Linked DNA regions of Notamacropus eugenii. The protein of the gene in region 1 purifies or fractionates together with the protein of each later gene. This does not show direct contact. Links are inferred from orthologs where the notes say so. Each region holds a gene or a part of one and is shown on either strand. Other genes may lie near its edges.

Region 1 (10,994 bases):
AGTTTTCCTTTTCCTTTTATTAACAGCTTAACACAGACTGTATGCTGCAGGTTTTTAAACTAAGCCAATACTGAAAAAACCATCTAACACTTGACTCAAGGGTTTTGGTTATAAGTGCCAATGTCTACATCAGAATTACACTAGTGTAAACCATACAATTTTCAGAAGAATAGGGAAAAAACAGTTGAAACTGGAATGGAAAGATAATTTATGTACAAACAGTTGAGCAGAGTTTTTCTAGCTTTAAGTCATTCACCACACACTCTAAAAGTGTTTAAGTTCACATTTTCTACAGCTATACAGACAAATATTAAAAGTAGCAAACCAAGCATTGGCCACAGGTCCTGCCTAGACATTCATCAACACGCAACGTGAACAAATTTATATAAATAAACCAATTAAACATAACAAAAACACCCCTAAAGTAAAAAACAAACAAACAATAAATTCTGACAGTAAATAATAAGCTGTACATTATGGTCAGTCTTTTGTATCTCAAAAAAAAGAGTAACTTTAAAAAAAAGTTTTTATTATAAAAAAAATTCTTTAGATGTTGAAAGATGATGTTAGCTGGAGTGGAAACTTGAGGATTCTGACTCAGTAGAAACAGATGAGTGTCCTCCCCTCTTGCCCTTTGAAAGTATCTTAAGGCTGGAGCCTCTGCTAACTGATGTCAGTGCATTTTGTGCAGAGGTTTTAAATTTGGCACCAAGAAAGGCATACAGAATGGGATTCAGGCAACAATGAAAAAAGGCCAATGCCTCTGTGATGGAGATCCATTTGTGTACGGCGGTATCAAAATCACAGTCCTGCTTGATCACTTCCAGGAGAACAAACGTGTCTATACTGATTCCAATGTAGTAAGGCAGCCAACAGGCAAAAAAAGCCAGAATAAGTATGACTGTTGTCTTCAGGGCTTTTCGTTTCTGGTGACCCTTTGAATGGGACAGCTTGGAAATGATAATGCAGTAACAGGTCAGAATAATTAGGCCAGGTAAAACAAGTCCAACTAGGATATGCTGAAACCGGAAAGAAATCAGCCAGTTGTCATGAGGATATACCCGGTCACAGAAGTACCTTCCGTTAGCTTCACCTGTGTTGGCAAAAATGATGTCTGGAACCGTGAGCAGGAGAGCAGGCAGCCACACACCTAAGTACACCACCTTTTCTGCCAACAGCTTTCTTGGTCTCTGACTGTTGGTTGCATGAACGATTGCCAGGTATCGGTCTAAACTAATAAAAGCCAGAATCAGGACGCTTCCATAGAGGTTGACTGTATAAATGACATGCACTGCCTTGCACAGAAATTTTCCAAAGTACCAGCTTGCAGCAGCATCCACGGCCCAAAAAGGCAGAGTGAGAACAAACAGGAGATCAGCTACTGACAAGTGCAACCTGTACTTGTCGGTCATGCTTCTCAATTTCTTCTGGTAACCCATGACAATGATAACCAATCCGTTGCCCACAATGCCGGTCAGAAAGATGAAGGTGTATACTGTAGGTAGAAAGATGCGGTTGAAATCCTCGTTTTCATGCCGGAAACATGGCTCTTTGCCATCGTAATCACCTGAGCCAAAACCATCTGAACTGTTGTTATCATGAAGCTCGATGATGAAGCCTGTATAGGACTGCAAGAAAAGAGAATAAGAAAAGTAAATGACAGGAAATGACAAAACCAGTACTTATCTATCAAGTTATATGACTCCAAAGTTTTTCTTAAACAAAAGCAATCCAAATTCTCCCATTTCCCCTAAAAAATTCTTCCAAGGGGAAACAATTTTCCTAGGGAAGGGTGCCCTTACAATGGCACCATTTCTTTTAAAACCCCATTCCTTTCCTCATCTACAACTCCTACAGTAATCTAATAGCTTGGATTTTTCTGTTAACCTCAGAATTCTCATGGAACCTCTCAGCCAAGCTCAACAAAAGAAACTTAAAGAAACATTCTTCCGAGTCGGGACAGGTTGGGGTTGGAGGAAGGGGGATTCGATCCATCGTGGCTAGGTCAAAAGCATAATAGCACGAAAAACAGGAGATAAGAGAAAGGACAGCTTAAGCGCATCAAAAAACCCCAAAACAAAACTCTGTTCTCCATTGAGGAAACTTTTTTTTTTAAAGCACAAGCTATAGTGTCCTTGCAATCACATATGGCCAGTATAGGGATATCTGTCAAAACAGTATGCTTGAGGAGTGTCCGGCAGGCATGGAAAACCGTGCTCGTTAATACGTACACCTTCCGCCCCCCCAAGTGTTTATTCCTTCAAGGTTATTCTAGTTTGCTGAGCGGATCTCCGCTTCCCTGGGTGGAGAAGGCGCTGTTGTTTGGGTCACGCGTTCTGGACTCTACCTCCTCGCCCCAAGTTTCATTTCCTCCCTCTATCTTGTTCCAACATCAACCCACTGTCTAGTAGTAATGTTCCCCCCTCCCCACTTCCCTCCCTCCCACCCCACACTAGCCTGGCTAATGGGATCTAGAGGGCAGCAGCTGGAACTCGCGCACTGGGAAGCGATCAGCCTGCTGTCCAGTGTGAATATAAACTGTCCACCATCCTCAAGGCACTCTCCTTCCCTTCCCCCGATTCCCCCAACTTTACTCTTCTCCCCAGGCAACTAGGTTAGCCAGAGCCCTGAAAGCACTCTCCATAAGCCCGTACCACCCTCCCTAGATGACTCGCACCGTGCATGCCGCTGCGCATTTTAGAGAGCCTGGCGGCTCCACCCTGGTTGCCTTTGAATCGCGCGCCACTGTGGGAGGAAGCGAAAACTATGAGGTGGGGGGTTCAAAAAGCAAGAGGAAACCGCCGACAGTTAAACAGCAGCATTTTGAACCAAACCGATTAGTACGCTTGCACCCACCCTCCATCCCCTTCCCCCTGGATGCAATTCAGCCGAAGACGATGTCGCGCCCTCCAGGGTAAGGACCTCCCCAACCTAGCGCACCTCCGGGTCTAGCTCCTGGAGGTGACTCAAGCCAACAGCCGCACACTGCTTGGAGACGCCCGACGCCAAAGCGAAGATCCCGGAGCTCCTGACCTACCACAACGGCACGGCGTCTGCAAATCCCAATTCCAAAGAAAGAGCAAGGCTACCCTATACCATAGGCTTTTAAGACTTATTAATGAGACTTGCAGTCTCCAGAGGGAGTTTGTGAATTACTCCAAGTCCGACCCTGCATTCCCTCTGCCAGCACTCCCCCACAAAGAACCTAGTTCATCCCCGGGCACGGAATAGATCGCTTTGGGAGGCAGGAGAGGGAATAAAAAATGTTTTCTTTGCTCCTTCTTTTTCCAGGTTGAATCTGGGAACCTGAGCGGTTCTGAGGGAGGTGCACACGCACCTACTGGACAGAAAACCAGGCGCACCCTTTACAAATGTCACCCACCCGGGAGTTCACTTTCCCTCTCTTTCCCCGGTCCGCTAGTGCAGCCGTTTACCCCAATTCTTGCTTTTTCTTCCTTGGGGCTCCCGGCAGCCAGTTCCTTCCCATGCACTTGCCACATCTGCACTGAATGCACCTTTTTGTTTGCAAACAATGCGAAAGAAAGCAAGCCAGTGCACGGTCCTACCCAGTCACTCACGCTCATCTCTGTAGCCCAAGTCAAGTCTCAAGGAAAAAAGAGGAGGAGCTGCAAACCCTACTTCTATTTCATTCTGCCACCCCTAGGAATAATTTCTGCCAGTTGCCCCTTTGAGTGCTGTGAGCCCTGCAAACGGGCATCCTCTAAAAGTTAGGCAATCGGGCAGCTGCGGTCTCTGCCAAGAGAAATGCATTTGCAGCCAGAGAAATAAGGAGAGCAGAGCTGAACTTACATCCAGATCATCTCCGCTGTTCGAACTCATGCTTGCAGCAGCAGCCTCCGCCCAGACACACTACTTTCCAATCACTTCGCAACCCTCAGCCACAACCAACAAACTCCGAAGTTTCTCGGAGAGCCGGACTTTTATAAATCACGCTCGGTGGCGGAACAGCGCATGCGTCCCACCCGCTGGAGTGATGATGGGGAACTGCTTTGCTTTGAGTCCTTTGAATACACGGGGCGGGGTGTGTGGGGGGGAGGGAGGAGAGGGGAGGTGGGGAGACAAGGGGCGGGAGAAGGGCACCGCGGTTAGTCTGGCGGAGTCTGTTAGGGAAGCCCCTGTACAATGCACGCAATGAACTTCGTCACGTAGTGTTGTTTTTTTGGCGGGGAAGGTGGGGAAGGAACTGAGATGGAGGCACGTTAGAACTGGCCCCTATTTTGGTCCTCCTCTATGAAAAAAGATTCTCTTAGAATCCCTTTTTAATGTGGGATGTGAGAGCTGGAAGGGACCGTCTTGTCCTGCCCCATCTGAGGACCAGGAGAGACTTGCCTAGGGTCACAGAGCTGGTTTCTCTAGCAGAGCCTGGAGTTTCCAGTCTCAGTTCAGGGCAGTTTTCACTGCTGCAGATCAGCACCCTATTTTTATTTTATTTTATTTTTTACAGAGGGATTCAATAAGGGAACATCTATTTGGGACTTTTTCACTTAATGAGTAACAAGGGAAAGTGGGGCCAGGAGCGGAGGATAAGAATCAATCAGAAATCACGTATTGAAAAATTTAAATGCTAAAGGGGTGGGGATGAGAACGCAGAGGCAGACTACAAAACCCATTACTATTACCTTCAACGCGTCAGGCAAGTTGCAGGTGAAGTAATTCAAGAAAAAAGAAATTAATCGCCGCATAGCTATATGCCCTGGCCAATAATCTTACTTAAATGCAGAATAGAATGGTACTATATGAAGAAGAATCTGGAGAAACTGCTCTCAAAAGCCTTCCTGGAGTAGATGGGGTTTCAACCAAATTTAGTGCTTCTCTCTCTTACAGAGGAAAAAAAATGTTTCAATCAGTCAGTCCAATCCACAAGCATTTATTAAGATGTTTCTCAAGTCAGTGGAGGATACAGGGACAAAAGTGGAAGAGTGGGGTATGGTTTTTGTGAGGGCGATGAACAAGGAAACAAATCTTGTGTTAGCTTGAGAAAGGAGCCAGGACAGCCGAGGCTGGGGAGATGGAGCCTCTGTGCACTATTTGGATGCTAGGCTAAAGAGGTGCAGATATCACAACGGAAAGCCACCTCATCTGCCCCCTTTTTCTTTCTTCGGCTGCCTCTCAGCCTTCTATCACCAGGATGGGCGTTATGTCTGTATAAGGCAGGGGGAGCTGTGCAATCTGAGGAGAGTGGGAAGGCGGGACCAAGAGAGGACGTGCCAAGCTGCAGCAGGTTGGGCATTTTTCTTGACGCATCCTACCGTCGTCTCTGTAGGAATATAGAAACCAAGCCAGATACTTCACCCCAACCTCAGAGCCTCTGGGGTACCCGTAAGAAATGTTTTTGTGAAAATAAAAGTTTGAGGCTCAGTTTCTTCAGAGGATTTGTTTTGCCTAAAATCCACTGGTCACATCTGATTTCCTACCGTCTGCTGTCGAAGGTCTTTGTCCCCCCAATCTCCTTCCCATTTAGCGCTCTTTTGTCCATCACCCTGAAAATATAACTGGAAAGCTGGAATTTAGCAAAATGTCTCAGAGGCTGACATTTTAGGGAGGTACCGTTTGATAATGTTACAAGGGGCAGTGCTGGGCAATACATGGAGGGGCTACCTTAGGCACCACACAGACCATGGGTTCAGTTCCTGTCTGGATACAAACTGTGTGAGTTTGTCAAGTAGCTTAACCTCTTAAGTGTCTCCTGTGCATCTCTTCAGAAATATTGTTACTTGTTGCACGTATGGTCACGTGGAGTTCCCTACTCGGATAAAATCACAGTTCCAGACCTAAAATAAAGTGAAACAACACCGCACCACACTTCTTTCCTGTAATCACCTAAAACCTTTCTAAGGAGTCTTCACATCTTTTGTCTCATTCGATCCTTACTGCAGTCCCATGAAAGCAGATAGGGCAGGCAGTATACTCATTTTCCAAATGAGGGAAATGACTTAAGGGTACATGGCTTTGTAGTGGCAGAGTTGGGAGGGGAAGTTCTTTTAAGTCCCAGCTCTGCCTTCCTTCTGTGCTAGACCATACCCTACCAGCATTAGGCATATTTCTTACAGTCTCTTTCTTGTTTTCTTCCTACATTGTTACTGTATTTTTTTCCTCCAGGGTCATTGAAGGCTCATTTGACCTCAGAACTTCAGTAGAAGCTGAAACTCAAAGAAGCGAGGTCCTCCCACTCAGATGGGCAAAATAAAGGAAGGGGGATGGTTTAAAACAATGAATATTTGTTGACTGATTTCGAACATAAAGTAGGTCTCCTTTAAGTAAATAAAACAAGAAAACATGGCGGGAAGGAGGGGAAGAAAAAGCACTGGACTTGGAAACAGCAGATTTGTCTCTTTGGAGGCAGTTAATAAGTGGCGAAAGTTGGACTTTCCCCATTAACTACCTATTCAACATAGGATGAGTCACTTCATCTTTATGGGTTTCAAGGTCCTTTATAAAATATGAGGGCTAGATGAGGTGATTTCTAAAGGTCTCTTTTAGCTTTGCCTTTGAGTCATGAGGTCCTTTTAGGCAGCTCTGGTATCGGGTTAGGTTTTACTCTCAACCAGAAGTGTCAGTACAGAATAGAGTACATAGATACTTTAGCTGGTCACCTCTTTCTTCCCTACTCACCCAGCAATTTCCCCTTTTGTCCATACTCAAGTTCTAACTCAGGTCATGGCTTCTGCAAGAAGCCCTACCTGACTATTCAAGTTCATAATATTATTTAGTGCCCAAAACATAGCAAATACTTAATAAATGCTTTTATCTGTCTATCTGTCTGTCTGTCTATCTATCTATGTATCATTGATCAGTCTGACATTCTTTCCACCCAAAGCATCATAAGCTTTAGAATTGAAAGAAATCTTAAGAAATAATCTCTGGAATTTCTGAAGAGCTAACTCCTACTCATTTGGCTTTTGATAATATGCTGCCTTTCAAGAGCTTTTATATTATTATTTAACTTTTTCTCTATGTGTATCTTATCTTTTCAAAGATTGTAAATTTTTTCAAGGGAGGGTCCAGACATCCCCTACCCAAATCTAATTCATTGCTGAGCAAATGGCAAGCATTCAATAAATATTTGTTGGTAGAATGAATGAATATCCTGTGTGGTTCTTGTAACAGATCTAGAGTTAATGCTGCTTTGGCCGGGTTTCTAAATTCTCAAGCTGTCTCTAACCCAGAGAATGACTGGGTTTTGGTCGCAGCATGGAGAGGATGCTTAAAAATTCAGAGACACCGTGGCAAGCATCCTGCCACCTCCTGTTGCTCCTGCTGCAGCTGGTTGATTTGTGTGTATATGTGTGAGGATGACAGAAAGCTGTACTTCTCTCCAACATTCCCCCCCACCTTCTCTCACCCTGGCATTGTTGGCTTGGAAGTCAGACTTGGTGAAAGTTTCAGGACAGGCTCCCTGGTGGAGTGAAATGTCTGAAGTGAAAGGGATCAAGGGCACAGCATTCTCACCGCCCTCTCCTGTTCTTTAAAAGAAAAATGGCTGTTTTTGTCCCTCAAAGAAGAAAAGTCAAAACTTCTTTGATGGGAATGGTGGGTACTCAAAGGGACAAAGTTAATGTTTTTCCAAGTGATAAAAAAGAGAGGCTATTTCCGTAGAAGCATGTAATTCTAGGAGAGGGCTACAAATCTTAAAGAGACAATGCTATCGAATGACAACCATTTCCAAATGGGTGTGATGGGGGTGAAATGTCAACCCCCTTCCCCCAACAAAATGACTTTGGAAAATAGACCTATGCCCTCTCTTTAGCCAGTCATGTACTAGCTTATGAAAAAAACCCCAAAGATGCAGATCTTATGAGGACCCCTAAATCTCTGGATCATGTTGTGTTTCTAGCATGTTCTAGTTTGTTGTCCAAGCTTTGACATTCACTAGTTATAGGATCCTGGACAAATTGCAACCTTAGTTTCCCTATGAAATAAGAATGACAATAGCAAATTACTTCTCTTGCAATGTTATGTTAAAGAATTTTTCTATGTAATATAGATATGCTAATGAAGCAGCCAGGTGGCACAGTGGATCAGAAGTGGATCAGTCCATCCGAAGTGGAACCAGGGAGATCTGAGTTCAAGTCTTGTCACAGACACAACTAGATGTTTTGACTCTAGGAAAAGTTGCATAGTCTCTCTCATCCTGGTTCCTTCTCTGGCAAAAAAAATGGGTATAATAATAACACCTACCTTCTTAAGCTATCATTTTAAAGTCCTATAAAATTCTGGTTGTTTTTTGAAAGTAAAATCTGTAACAGAAATCAAGGAAACTGTTCCAAAAGTTCCAACAATGGGCATGTATAGAGAAGGGGGAAGGGAGAGGAAGACTGGATTAGTAAACAACTATAGTTAATTTAGTGTTCCCTGTTGAGCCACAGTAACAAAGCAGCCACTTAATTAACAATATAATCATCATTACTTGACTAATTCCATTGCTAGGAGGATGAATTGCCCTGAAGTTTGCTCTGCTAATGTGACAGGTGTTCCCGGCTCTACCATGTGAAATACACAGAGTTGCTACTGGTGTTGTCTAAAATCAGAGTATGTTGCTTGGAGAAGGGCATGACTTCAAGGAAATAATCAAGTGCAAAAATCCTGTTCTCCATGGAAAACGCTTGTCATTGTTTTCCTTAAGCATGTAATTTATTAGCACTGACCTTGGTAAACTGTATCACAAGTACTCTCTGGTGGATACACAGCAGCTTTCTGAAGAGACCAGAAACACATTGCGTTAGGTTCAGAAACCCGCTGCAGCAAGAGGACAAACAAATATGTTCTGAAATCTGCTCTGGCTCACTAGCCACAGTTCAACATTATCCCGAGGAACAAAGAAGGATGCTTTCAGCCGCCTGCAATCTGCTGCGATGCTGTCCCCTCCCCCTCCCTGCCCCTTCAGGCTCCAGGCTCTATGGGAGGGCTGGCGGACAACTCGGAGAGAGGGGATGCCCCTGGGGGTCACTGGCAGGCCCTAGGTACTGGCTGCTTGGAATGGAAGAAAGGGAAAAGAAAAAGGGAAGGGACCATATGTCAGGGCAGTGGTGGAGTGTCAACGACATTTGCCTCCTGTGATGCTCCGGGGCATTCGCTGCATAGTTTGCCTGTCCAGAGCTGGAGAGAGATTAGTCTTCTAAATGTAGGCTCCTGTAGGGGATGCTTCTAGTTAGTCTCATACTACTTGTCAGGTCAGCGTTTGGAACCCCAAAGAGGATTATTGGCCTACCTGCTGCTGGGCTATGTTCTCATCCTTGCCAGCCCCCCTCCCCCACTTCCCCAGTTATCCTCTCCCTTCCCCCCCACCTCCCAGTTGTGTCTGTGGATGACTAATGGACTCAGGGGGGTTTGTTCCCTTAGCGAATGGAGTTTCAGCTCTTTACCTGTGGCAGAGAACTTAACTCAACTAAGGGTTCTTATTCCCTTGAAGCAAGGGAAAAGAAACTTTTCACACAGAGAAGACGCAGGCAATAGATAGTAGCACTAAGGTAGGATTAAGAGGGCATTCCTCTTTCCTTGTTACCAGTAGAAGATTGTACTAGAGGAAAAGTAACAAAGGGTTCCTTAAGTGTACAAAGAAAGCTCCCTCATTGGATCAAAGAATCATAGCAGGATAGAAATCTAGAGCCTTAGAGGTGTCAGGTCCTGAAATAAATCAGATCTATAAGTGAAAGTTGTCTAGTCCAACCATCTCACTTTATGGATGAGGAAACGGAGACTCAGAGAAATTCAGTGACTTGCCCAAAGTCACACAGGTCATAAGTATGGGAGCCAGTGTTCAAAACCATATTCTCTCACTCTAAATTCATTATTATTTCCACTACACTTAACTCTAGTTAGGAGTTTTTCCAATCCCGGAGGAAAATATAGTATCCCCAAAGTCTAAACAGAATCATCTTTTTAGATGTGCTTATCCGTTGGGAAGTAGAACTATGTACTATATTAAGCATTGCAGAGGCAAATACAAGCAAGCAAGAATCTCTGCCAGCAAGGAGGTTATATTCTATTGGGAATAGGTAAAGGGGTGCTAAGAAGTGATGGAGAAGGGGTAGGGGACCATATGCCCTGAATGGCAAGATAAGGAGACAGCAGGAAGTGGTACAGAGACCGGTCTGCAGCAAAATAAGGAAAAACATTACCTAATCACAGTCCAGGAGCCAATCTGGGCCACCTTCCTGTGGGAGGACAATGATGATAATGGTTAAAGACCATCACTTTTTTACACTTTAGGGCTTTCTAAGTGTTTTCCTCACAACCTTGTGAGGTAGATAGTGTAGACACCTTCCCTTCCATTTTACAGATAAACTGAGGCAGTGAGACATTAAGGAACTTGCTTACATAATTAAATGCCTCTGTCAGGATTCCCCCCAAGTCTAATGCAGTTTTCACTACCACTCATGCCACAGATGCCTTTATTGGGATAAACCTAATATTTTTAGGCTTTATGTACAAGCAGGGTTTTAGGAGGCTAGATCTATACCTACAGCAGGAATCTACTCCTCCCCCCAAATTATTGATACAGGTGAAATCAGGTTAAAATTACATATATGTGTATGTGTATATATATATGAGATAGACACATACAGTTATTTTTAAAAGAGTCATTTGGTGGCCATCTTTCTAATCCACTGTCTAACCACCAGTTCAAAATAGGGCCCAGTTGTCTTCCCTTTCATTTCCTTTTCCCCCTTCCCTCCCTAAGGTTTTAGGATAATCTTTTGAAATTATTTCATTATTGCAATCAGCAAAACAACTAAACCTTCATGGTAATTGTTTATACTTGTATTTTTAAAACTTAAAATCCTAAAGTATTATAAATTTCCTTCAAGAAATTTGACCTTTGTCCACCCTCATTCACTTTCCCTCTTATATAGTCCTAGTTAGTGAGTGCCCCATTCTCCTGGTTCTGCTTTTTCTGCTTTGTATGATTTCATAATAATCTTTCCATCTATCTTTGGCCTGCTTTAAACATGGCCAGCATGGTTCCCTGATGG
Region 2 (10,557 bases), on another chromosome or scaffold:
AATTTACAATAAGGATGCTATCTGGCAGTTTCCTTAATAAGAGACTATAATGTCTGACCTACAACATTTCTTAGCTCTAAATTAGATTCCTCTTTGGCACACTGGTTTGTACTTGTTAAACATGAAAAATACAAGCACAACCCAAGAAGAGTAAACCCAGAACAAGCTAACAACCCCTGTAAGTAGCTCCCTTGGTTTCAACTATCACCTTTACCTAGATGATTCTGAAATCTCTATTTCCAGACCTGACCTGAGTTCCAAGGCCTCCATCTGAACTGTCCCATCAGCACCTCAAACTCAAGTCCTACAGTGAAAAAAGCACCAAGTTTGCATTCAGAAGACCTGGGCTTGAACCTCACTGTGACCCTGGATGAGTTACTAATTGCCTCTCTGGGCTCATTCTCTTCATCTAGAAAATGAGGAAGCTGAATTTAAGATATCTCTGAGGTTCTCTCAAGCTCTCTTTTCTAGTAAGGTATTGTGATACGCTGAAAAGAGCCAGTGTGGAGTCAGAATACCCAGATTGGAATTCCAGCTCTACCTTACTAGTGTGACCTCAGGTAGTCATCTCCTTTCTCTGAACTTCAGTTTCCTTTCCAGTTCTAAGTGTATGATCCAGTAATCCTACTTCTATCAATGTGACCACCATCAAAAGAGACTATAATGAGCCTTGTTCAAAACCTTATTTTGGACTCCCGTCCCCTTAATCTACTATATCCAGTAAGTTACAAAAAACCTATTCAAATCCATAACATAACAATCCTCTCTATCCCAACTGCTCCAACTGCACATAGGCTCATTACCACCTAGCTAATTACTATAATAACATTATGATAAGTTCCCACCTCTAGTCCATCCTTTGAATGAATGCCAAACTTATTTTCTTGGTATATAAATTGGTCATGCCACTCATCTATTCAAAACATTTCAGTCCCTCTTTACTGTCTATTTCTGTTTTGCCTGGAACCTAGAACTACAAAATCTGAAACCATCCTATTTTCCCAGCTTTCCATCTCATGTTACCCCCACACCTTTTATGCTCCTGCCAAGCAGGACCCACTCGCCATTTCCCACTGGCCGAGCTCCCAGCTCTGTATCTTTACTGATACTTCCATACTCCTGGAATGCAGTCTCTGCCCACAGAATTCCTATCCATCTTTTAAAATCTAACTCAAATACCACCTCTTTCGCTAAGCTTTTCCTGCCTCTCCCCACTCCACAGCTACTTAAGAACTTCCACTCCACCCTGACCTCACAAAAAGGGACAAAACAAAATGCTAACACTATTATTATTGATGTAGCATTAACTGGGCAGCCTCCAATCTCCTCCAGATCCTAACACAGTGCTCTGCTCTTAGAAAGCACTTGGTGAGTTTTTGGAAGTGAAAAATTAACTGGAACAACACTCTCTATGGCCTAATTTTAAAATAAAATATCTTCCTCCCCAAGTCCTCAAATGGGTCAAAAATATTTTTGACAATAGACAAATGAGTCTGGATAACTGGGTATAACACTACCCAAAGACAGAGAAAGAACTCTACTAACTGATCTCTGAAGGATTCTTCCAACCTTAAAAATTCTAAGCTCTGAAAGGGATTGTGATATGTTCTGAAACAAAAATTAGTAGGTATAGTTTGATGAAGGACTCTGCTTCTTTTGTAAAGCCTTATTAAAAGTACCCCTTCTTCTCCTGAAAGCAGGACTGTCTTGGGGAATCTGTAACATGGTCACTGTAGACAAGACAGCACCCTTAGATGTAAGGGTGTCCAGCAGAATGCCAGACTTCAGCAGTAACAAGAGGTTCAGTGTCTATCCAAAGTAAAGGAAACTCTAAATATCAAATATACTCTCAGATACCTCTTATGTTGGTTTCTGGTTCTTTGAGAAGCCCCAACTCCAGGCACTTTTCTCTCTTAATGTGTTCTCTCTTTGGTTTCCCTCCAGTTGTACTGAGATACTCCCCTACTTGAAAACATTATGATGTGGATCATAATAATATTCAAAGGGCAGTTTGAAGTCTGCAAAGTGCTTTCTTTACAACATAGGAGCCTGTTAGTTACATTTTACAGTTGAAGAAACCAAGGCTCAAAGATGTTAAGTGACTTATCCATAGTCACATTCTGGGGTCAGAACCAGGATTCTAACTCAGGTCTTCTAAATCCAATGCCCTTCCCACTGTACCATACTGCCTCTCATGTACTCCCTCCAGGTTAAAGTCTGGGAAGCAAAGTGTGGTGGGAGGAGAACTGAATTTAGAAGAAGATCTAGGTTTGAGTCCTAGGTGTGCTGCTGACTAGATGTAACAAGTCAAGTCACCTCTGAGCCTCAGTTTCATGATCTGTAAAATGGAGATAGTAATATTGGTATTAACAACACATCATAAATTCAAAGTGTTATACACACAAATTATGTTACCCAGCAAAGAAAAGCAGCATAGATACAAAATGTTTATAATCTAGGAATCAAAACACATTTCAGATCCACAACAGTGCCTGGCACACAGGAAGCAATTACTAAATGTTGAACAACTGATTCACAACTAATATTAGCTAGGTTTTCTTTAAAGAGCTCAGGGTAAGCTGAAGCCTTTAGGCATTTTGCTAGACTGGCACTGAGTTACACAAGTTTTTACAATCATAAAATGCTTAGAACACTACAAGATTTTGTACTCAGAAAACTCCATCAAAAAATGGCAGTACAGGTATAGAGAGGAATTCCTCACAGAAAAATTTCCCAGATCTCTTAGAATCTAAACAATTCCCTTCCATCCACAACAACTACAAGAATGCAGAACTAATGAACTTAGGCACCAAATTTCAACAGGCATACTTTGGGTAGATAGTGACTTGTCTTTTTCTCAATCATACCTCTTCCAGCAGGAAGCTTTCCCTAATCAGTCAACTTTCTAACCCCCTAAAATAACCTCACACCTACTCTACTCCTCAATAGACTTATATACATTTATTTCTGCTGAAAAGGGTTACCTTTTCTATCATTTACAAGCTACCAGGGATAAAGCTGAGGTCTTTTTCTCCTATCCCTAATATACCTTGTTACATATCCCATGGTCAGGTAATGATCAATGCACCATTTATATAGCATACTCTAGGGTTAACAAAAGCTTTCCTCATCACAACCTGGAAGATATGCAATCCAAGTATTACTACCCCAATTTTCAGGAAATAGGCTTAGAGTTAAATGATTTGGTCATACACAGATATGAAAGTATTAAAGCCAGGATTCAATCCTTATTTCCTGACTCCAAGTTCTGGGATCTTTCCACTACTCCTCACTGTGTGTGTGTATATATATATATATATATATATATGTATATACAACACATACACACATATATGTACACACACACACACACACACACACACACACACACACACTTTTCAGAGCCTGAGGGCATGGAGACACAACCCTCAGGACCCAGTGCCTCCATAGAAATTAACAAAAGGTGTGCACCTTCCTACAAAACAAGCCTCCCCTAATCAAACTTCCCTTCATGGGCTCTACAGAGGCCTATTAACGGGTGGGGAAGATCTTTAACTTTCATTAACATTACAAGGAGACATCATGTAGGATATCCGGAAATGGAAGAGACCTTAAAAGATCACCTAGTCCTAATCCAACTCCTGCAATTTAAAGATGTGCAAACTGAAGCCCAAAGAAGGGACATGACTTACTTCAAGTCATACAATAGCAAGCACAAGCACTGGGATTCCATCACACCACAGTCTCCCTTTGGGGTTTCTCTTAGGTCCTGCGCTATTAGCAATTATCAATGACTTAGATAAAGACAAAAATTATTATCAATCTGCAGATGACTTAATGCCAGGGTCAGCAAATATGTCTAATTCTGATTGAATCAGAATAAAAAAATGTCCTTAAAAGGTTAGAACCCTAGGCTAAATTTAACAAGATAAAATTTAAAGGAGAAAAATGTATATCTTACCCTTAGGTTCGAAAGATCACCATGACAAGTCAAACAGTGGTACAACTCAGCATTGTCTGAAGTAACACCGACTGCTTGGAGGAGAGAATAGTACTTATTCTCTGATGCCATTTGACCAGGTTAGGGCTATACTTCTAATATCTCTAAGCCCTGTTTGTAACAATAACTTAGATTCACAAAGCATGCCTTAGGTGACAAAGTACTTTACTGTCTCACTCGTCAGCAGGAAGAACATATATTATTCTCCTCAAAGAAAAAAAAAACAGGCTCAGAATGGTCAGGGCATGAAAGTATTAAGTTGCAAAGGTGGGACCAATCCAGCTCTAGGGCTCTTTCCATAACTGCCCAATATGTTCTAATAAACATTTGTTGAATAAATGTTGACCCCTTATGGAACTTTCAATCTGAAATTTATTATAGTAATGATAATTAGCATTTATGTGGAGCTTTTAAGGTTTCCAAAGTCCTAAACACCTGAAGCTATTAACATTTTCAAACGACACAAACCAATTACCAATTGCTGTGGAAAGTAGTACTTTCACTAGTCCTAAAATTACTTCCGCCAAACTTCAAAGAGGATGAGATAGGGACAGGAAAGTTCTATGGTTTTCTGGATTTGATGAACAAACTGGAGCTTCCCATTTTTTTTCAAAGTACCGTCTCAACCATTTTAGTTCCTGGCAGATAGATTCTGTATCTTTAGTGAAATAAAAACATAGAGAAATAACTGCAGTCCAAGGAATTAATTTGTCCATCAAGGGGAATGACTCCCTATTCCATAAGCATACCGGGCAAGGACATAAATAAACAAGACACATCTCAAAATCAAGAGTTGGGGAGGGAGAGAGGACGAAGAGGAGGGGAAAAAAACCACACTGGCTGAAAAGAGGGAGAGCAGCCTCAGAGCTGTGACAGGCTGATGCCACAAGAGCAGAAGGAAAGGGAGACCAGAATCCACTGCCATTCTCAATGCCTTAACTACAGCACAAGCACCCACGGAGCAACGCGGCTACTCATTGCTAGGGAACGCAGGTAAGTCCTCATCTCCACACAAGGGTGATAGGGGCCACAGGTCTGGTGCAAGAAGGGAGAACTATGGGCAAAGGTTGGCTTGATGTGCCCAGTTCAGCCAATTCCCCACCACCATCACAATTTTCCTGGGAGGGTGGGGAGAAGAAAAACCGTAAAGATATATTAAAGAGATGTAGGTATGGGAGTGCAGAGGGACATGACACTTATCCTACACTCTTTCCTATATGGGACCTGCCATTTACTTCAACCAGGAGCTCTCTCTCATTTGTCACCTACTTTTCCCTCCAGAAGCCCTTCCCTACATCTTTCCCCTAAATCAGAAGCCTTCCCCTTTCATTGCCTACCCTTCTTTTACTCCTACTAGGACTCCCTCCCCCACCACGCCCTGCTCCTCCCCTCACCAGGACCCCCTCCCCCACCACGCCCTGCTCCTCCCCTCACCAGGACCCCCTCCCCCACCACGCCCTGCTCCTCCCCTCACCAGGACCCCCTCCCCCACCATGCCCGGATCCTTCTCCCCTCCCCAGGACCCCTCGTGCCGCTGGCCCTGTTCCCCCTAATCAGGACCTCGGCATTTAAACCACGCTGTGTTCCCTTCCTCGTTGCCTCTATTAGGTGGAGGAAAGCAACAAGAAAGAAAAACTTTTTTTTTAACTGTCCCCGCCATTACCGCTCTCACCGCCGAGTTAGGGAAAACCTCGAGACCCGGAGGTTAAACGCGCACTTTGCCCCGCCCCCACTAGCTCCAGCACCGCGACTCCACAGCGCCCCCTGCCCCGCCCCACCGCCTTTGAAGAGCGCTTGCGCACCAAGGTCTCCCGGGCCCCATTCCACGCCTGCGTACGTACGTACGTGCGTGCTTTCGCCATGTGTGCGTTAGGGGGTGGGCCCCGGGCGGTCGGCGGCGACGCTGCCTCGCCCCCTCCTGCTTTCCCCCTCCCTTCCCCCGCCTTCCTCCCTCTTCCCCCCCTTCACTTAGCTCTCTCCCCGCCCCTCCTCCTCCTCCTGCCCAATCCCTCCTCCTTCCTCCCGCCTCCCTCCTCCCTTCTGCCTCCTCCCCCAGCCGGGAGCCGCGGCCGCCTCCGGAGCCCCGAGCCCGAGCTGCCCAGCGACACCCCCTCCCCCCGCCCCCGCCCACCCCGGCCCCGAGCCCCGACCTGAGCCTCGGAGCGGGAGCCGAGTCTGCGCCCGAGGGTGAGTAGGCGCCCCCTCCCCGCGCCCCCACCCTCCATTCCCGAAAATCTTCCCGAGACCCGCACCCGGGATCCAAATGTGGCCCGCGCTGTGTGCAGCCCCCGCCCTCGGGGCATCCAGCTTTCGGGGGCCCCCACCCTACCTCTTCGCCCACCTGCCCCGTCCAGGTGTGCCCCCTCCCCCACGACGCGCCCTCCCGGGCTCAGTCCCCCGCCCCCTCGCCCGCCCTTTTGCCGGGGATCCAGATGTGGTCTCCCCCTCCCCTTGTTCAGTTCCGTGGCCTGGGGTTGCTTTGGGTCGTTGTTCGGGGGGCGTTGTTGAGGTTGTTTTTGTGCTGTTTGCGGGGTGGAGAGAGGAGGGAACGGTGTCGCATGATCTGATGGACTCCGTGGATTTTACCGCCGCCCCCCCAAACACGCGAGCTGGCGCGCGCACGCACGCACACGAGTGGAATCTTTCCCTGCGCCGGGCCGGGCTGCGGTAGGATTGCTCCGTGCCCCCTGGCCCAGACCCGGGGGACTGAGCCGGAGAGCTGGGGGGCGGCTGTTGAGTGTATCTGTGTCGTGAGTGTCCTTCCACCCAGCACAATGCAGGCTTCTTCCCGGCCCTGGCCAGAGGCTCGGTGGCGAGGGCAATGGGAAGATCTAGGCTGGACCCGGGCTGGTTAGGAGCCTGGGCCTAGGGGAAACAAGGACACGTCCCTAGGCACTGCTTTTCTGCCTGACGGTGGGGATTTAGTAAGGATAGGCTACTGCCCCTTGTCCTGCGTGGAGGCCAACGGGGTGTCAGGCAATGGAGAGAGAGGTCAGTGGGGGGTGGGGGAAGTGGGAGCCTGGCTGTCACTGGTGCTGCACATGCCCGGGTCGTTGTGAGCATAGGCCTGGCATCCACAGGGGATGTCCAGCCACAATTCCGGTTATTCTAGTATCCCAGAAAGAGTATTTGTGAATATGTTTGGGGGGGAGGTGGTACCCTTGCTTCTGCCCACTAAGGAAAGGTTGCTGATGCCAACTCAGAGGGTTACATGAACACTGAGGTACTGGAGTAGGGAGTTTCTACCCGATTGCTGAGGAACACTGCCTTCCCTCTCCTTCCTACTCTGAGTGGAAAGAAAAGGTTGGCCTGGCTGCCCTCCAGGGCACTAGGGTGGCATGAGAGTCCAGGCCCCGGCATGCCCAAAGTATTGCATGCTGGGACCTGTAGTCCAACCTGTATTTCCCTGATAGAGTTTAAGTGATAGATTGGCATCCATCCCCCTATAGAATACCCTTCTAGGTTATAGAAACACAGCATGCCATTCAGTGCTAGAAGAGACTTTTAAGATAATCATTCTAGCCGGAAGCTCTCATTTTCACAGAAGAGAAGATGGATAAAGCAAAGTGACTTGGCCAAGGTCACCCGGCTAATTAGTGGCAGAACCAACACTAGAGCCCTGGTCTTGTGGTTCCCAGTCTAGAGCTCTTTTCATTATACCACACTGGCTTCCTCTCTGGTCCTGCGCAGCCCCACCATCACTCAGATGCAACTGAAGGGCACAAGGGAAATAGTGGACCTGGAAACAGCTCTGGTGGGAAGCCCCAAAGAAATGCTGGCACGGAAAAGACCCTAAGTCGTATTTTCAGAATAAGCTTAATCATCGACACCTTGACTTAAGCAGCCCCAAAATAAACTCTCCTGGTTTTGTGTTTGTTGCAGTTTTTATTTTTGTTTTTTACTGAACAACTTGACAATAACAAGTCCCTGTTGTGCCACAAAGTTTCTCTTAAGAAAGCAAAAGCTAAATTAGAACTAGAAAAAAAAAATTAGAGATCATTTAGTCACACACACACACACACACACACACACAGAGTTTTATAGATGTTGAAATTGAGATCCAGAAAGTGACATGACCCAGGTGGCAGGGTTCATCTTTGGTACAGCCAGGACACCATCCTCAATTTCCTTGGAAGAATAGCTACCTATGGTACCTATTTTCTATGGCTAAAAACTTGAACTGGCCTGCACTTTAAACCCAGGGAGGACTTCCTGGTGGGAGAAATTTACTCTCAAAGCAAATAAATTCTGAGTCATGGATGGCCACACTTGATAGATGTGTGTACCACCTGCATTAACGCTGAAGTTCTACAACGTAGAGAAGTTAGAGGTTGAAAAAAGGTATTTTCCAGAGGGAGAACTGGAGGATCTAGAAAAAACTTTATACCATCACCACCAAGGCAGCTAATTGGTGCAGTGGATAGAGAACTGGGCCTAGAGTCAGGAAGACTTGAGTTCATATTTGGTCATGCTAGCTTTGTGACGCTAGACAAGTCACTTCACCTGTTTGCCTCAGTTTCCTCAACTATAAAATGGGGATGATAACAGATCCTACTTCAGAGGGTTGTTGTGAGGATCAAAATGAGATAATGTTTTTAAAGCACAATGCTTGGCACATAGTAGATGCTATATAAAATGCTTATTCCATCCTCCCTTCAAGTTAACTTTGATAATAAATAATCTTTTTCATTCCTATATTACATTTACTTTTCAGGTCCATTCTCAAAGTTTTATCCTTACTAGGACATTTCTGCCCAAGGCAGAGATGTCTCTGTATTATCAACAGAAAGACTGAGCATTAGAGAGGGTTAGGGATTTGTCCAAGGTCACAGAGTCACCTAGCTAAAACTAGAACGCTGGTCTCCCATCTACCAACCAAGGCATCCTTCTGATGGAATAGACCATCTGACTGTAATTACGAGTCCTAAATTACAATTTCCCATGCAGTTCTACAATAATAAATTTTAAGCTGTAACCCTCTCCCTTCCTATTGTCACCTTACAGTAGCAAAACCCTAAATTGGCTTGACAATAAACCCTTTGCCAACTTAAATTAAGCATCTCAGTCAAACTAGGGGAAAATCTTGACACCACTGGCATCCCAGTACAACGAGGAAAGTTGCTGCCCATCATAAGAATTCCACTCTGATCTCTTGTAGAAGCATTGTGCTATAATGAAAATTATACTGGTTTGGATATCACAAGGCCAAGGTTCCTAGTTCTGCTCTTTACTAGCTGTTTTACTTTGGGCAAGTGATTTAACCATTCTAAACCTAGGTCTTCTCTTCTGTAAAATGCAGATAATAATACCTACAAAACCAACTTGGGACCATAAGGATTTAGGAGCTAGACAGGAAGGAACTTGGAAATCATCTATAGTCATGGGATCATTGTGAATATCAAATGAAATAATATGTATTAAATTCTTTATAAACTATACAGTGCTATATAAATGTGAACTATTCTTCTCCAGTGCTCTTTAAAATCTTAAACTGCATAAAACCTGTTCCTCTGCCCCCTTAGTCACCTTTGACATTTTTCCCTTCCTTCTGCTCATTTGCCCCACTTTCATTGACTCTGCAGTGATGATAGCTAGAATGACACTCGAGCGGAGGTCCTTTTCAGTTTCAGTTCCTTGAACTAACAAAGCAGCTGTCATGACTCTTACTTGCTCACTCTGGTTGAGTGGTTAGCTCATGAAGGTCCCTTGCCTAGGAAGGGAGTAGGCAGTGCCACACAAACTGCCAAGCTCCCTTGAAATGGAAGGGAGACAGGAAATTGGAGCTTGAGGGGGATTTGTCTTTGTGTCTTGACCACAGAGTGTACCGTTGGTGCAGGAGAAGAGGGGTATTGCAAGCACCTCTGGAGTAAAGGGGATTGTTTCAGTATGAAGAGGGACTTTGAACCTACACTGTACCCCTGACTTACAGTTACAGTCTCCTGGGCACTTCTGTTTACACACCAAGGTTCCTAACACGCACATCTCCCCAAGTATACAACACAGCAGAGACAGAGATGCACCTACCTGAGAGGCCACAATTGATATGTGTTGCGTCTTCACACCAGGATTGGCATTACATACCCATACACTCAAAACAGTTGTTCGATAATTCAATAAGCATTTGTTCATTGCTCTTACAGGGCTTTTACCTAGGCACTGGGAAAGAGGAGGTAGTCTCACCTATTTACTCAGATACACCCCCACATGGTCTGTCTTAACTGACTCCCCTTTCTCCTACTTCCCTCCTGAATTTCCCTGTATGGTGTGGTGGAAAGAATCCTGAATTTGGAATTTGAATTTCTATTCTACTTCTTACTACTACCTGTGTGATCCCACACCAAACCCTTCCTTACTCTGCTCCTTGATTTGTTACTCTTTAAAATGAGAGTGATTTCAACTATTTGATTTCTAATGATCCTATGAACTTCAAATACATTACCACTTCCCCTTCCACAACAACCCCCAGTTTGTTGGGTCAAGGAAATTTCTTGCCCTCCACACATAGGCAACCCCCAAGGAAAGACAAGGAGGTTAGAGTGAGGGGGCCAGGAATCCCA

The links.
Region 2: the proteins of CXCR4 (region 1) and TMEM63B purify together in Homo sapiens (co-immunoprecipitation; 3 studies listed by BioGRID and IntAct, with this or other methods). This does not show direct contact. The link is inferred for Notamacropus eugenii from reciprocal best matches to the Homo sapiens genes CXCR4 and TMEM63B.

What each region holds. Positions count from the first base shown.
Region 1 is NC_092876.1:297,780,240-297,791,233, reverse strand, and holds the start of CXCR4 (C-X-C chemokine receptor type 4), read right to left. Parts: upstream 4,010-10,994; 5' UTR 3,841-4,009; coding exon 3,811-3,840; intron 1,629-3,810; coding exon 567-1,628; 3' UTR 1-566.
Region 2 is NC_092873.1:107,529,975-107,540,531, forward strand, and holds the start of TMEM63B (CSC1-like protein 2), read left to right. Parts: upstream 1-6,053; 5' UTR 6,054-6,187; intron 6,188-10,557. UniProt on the Homo sapiens protein: Mechanosensitive cation channel with low conductance and high activation threshold. Osmosensitive cation channel preferentially activated by hypotonic stress.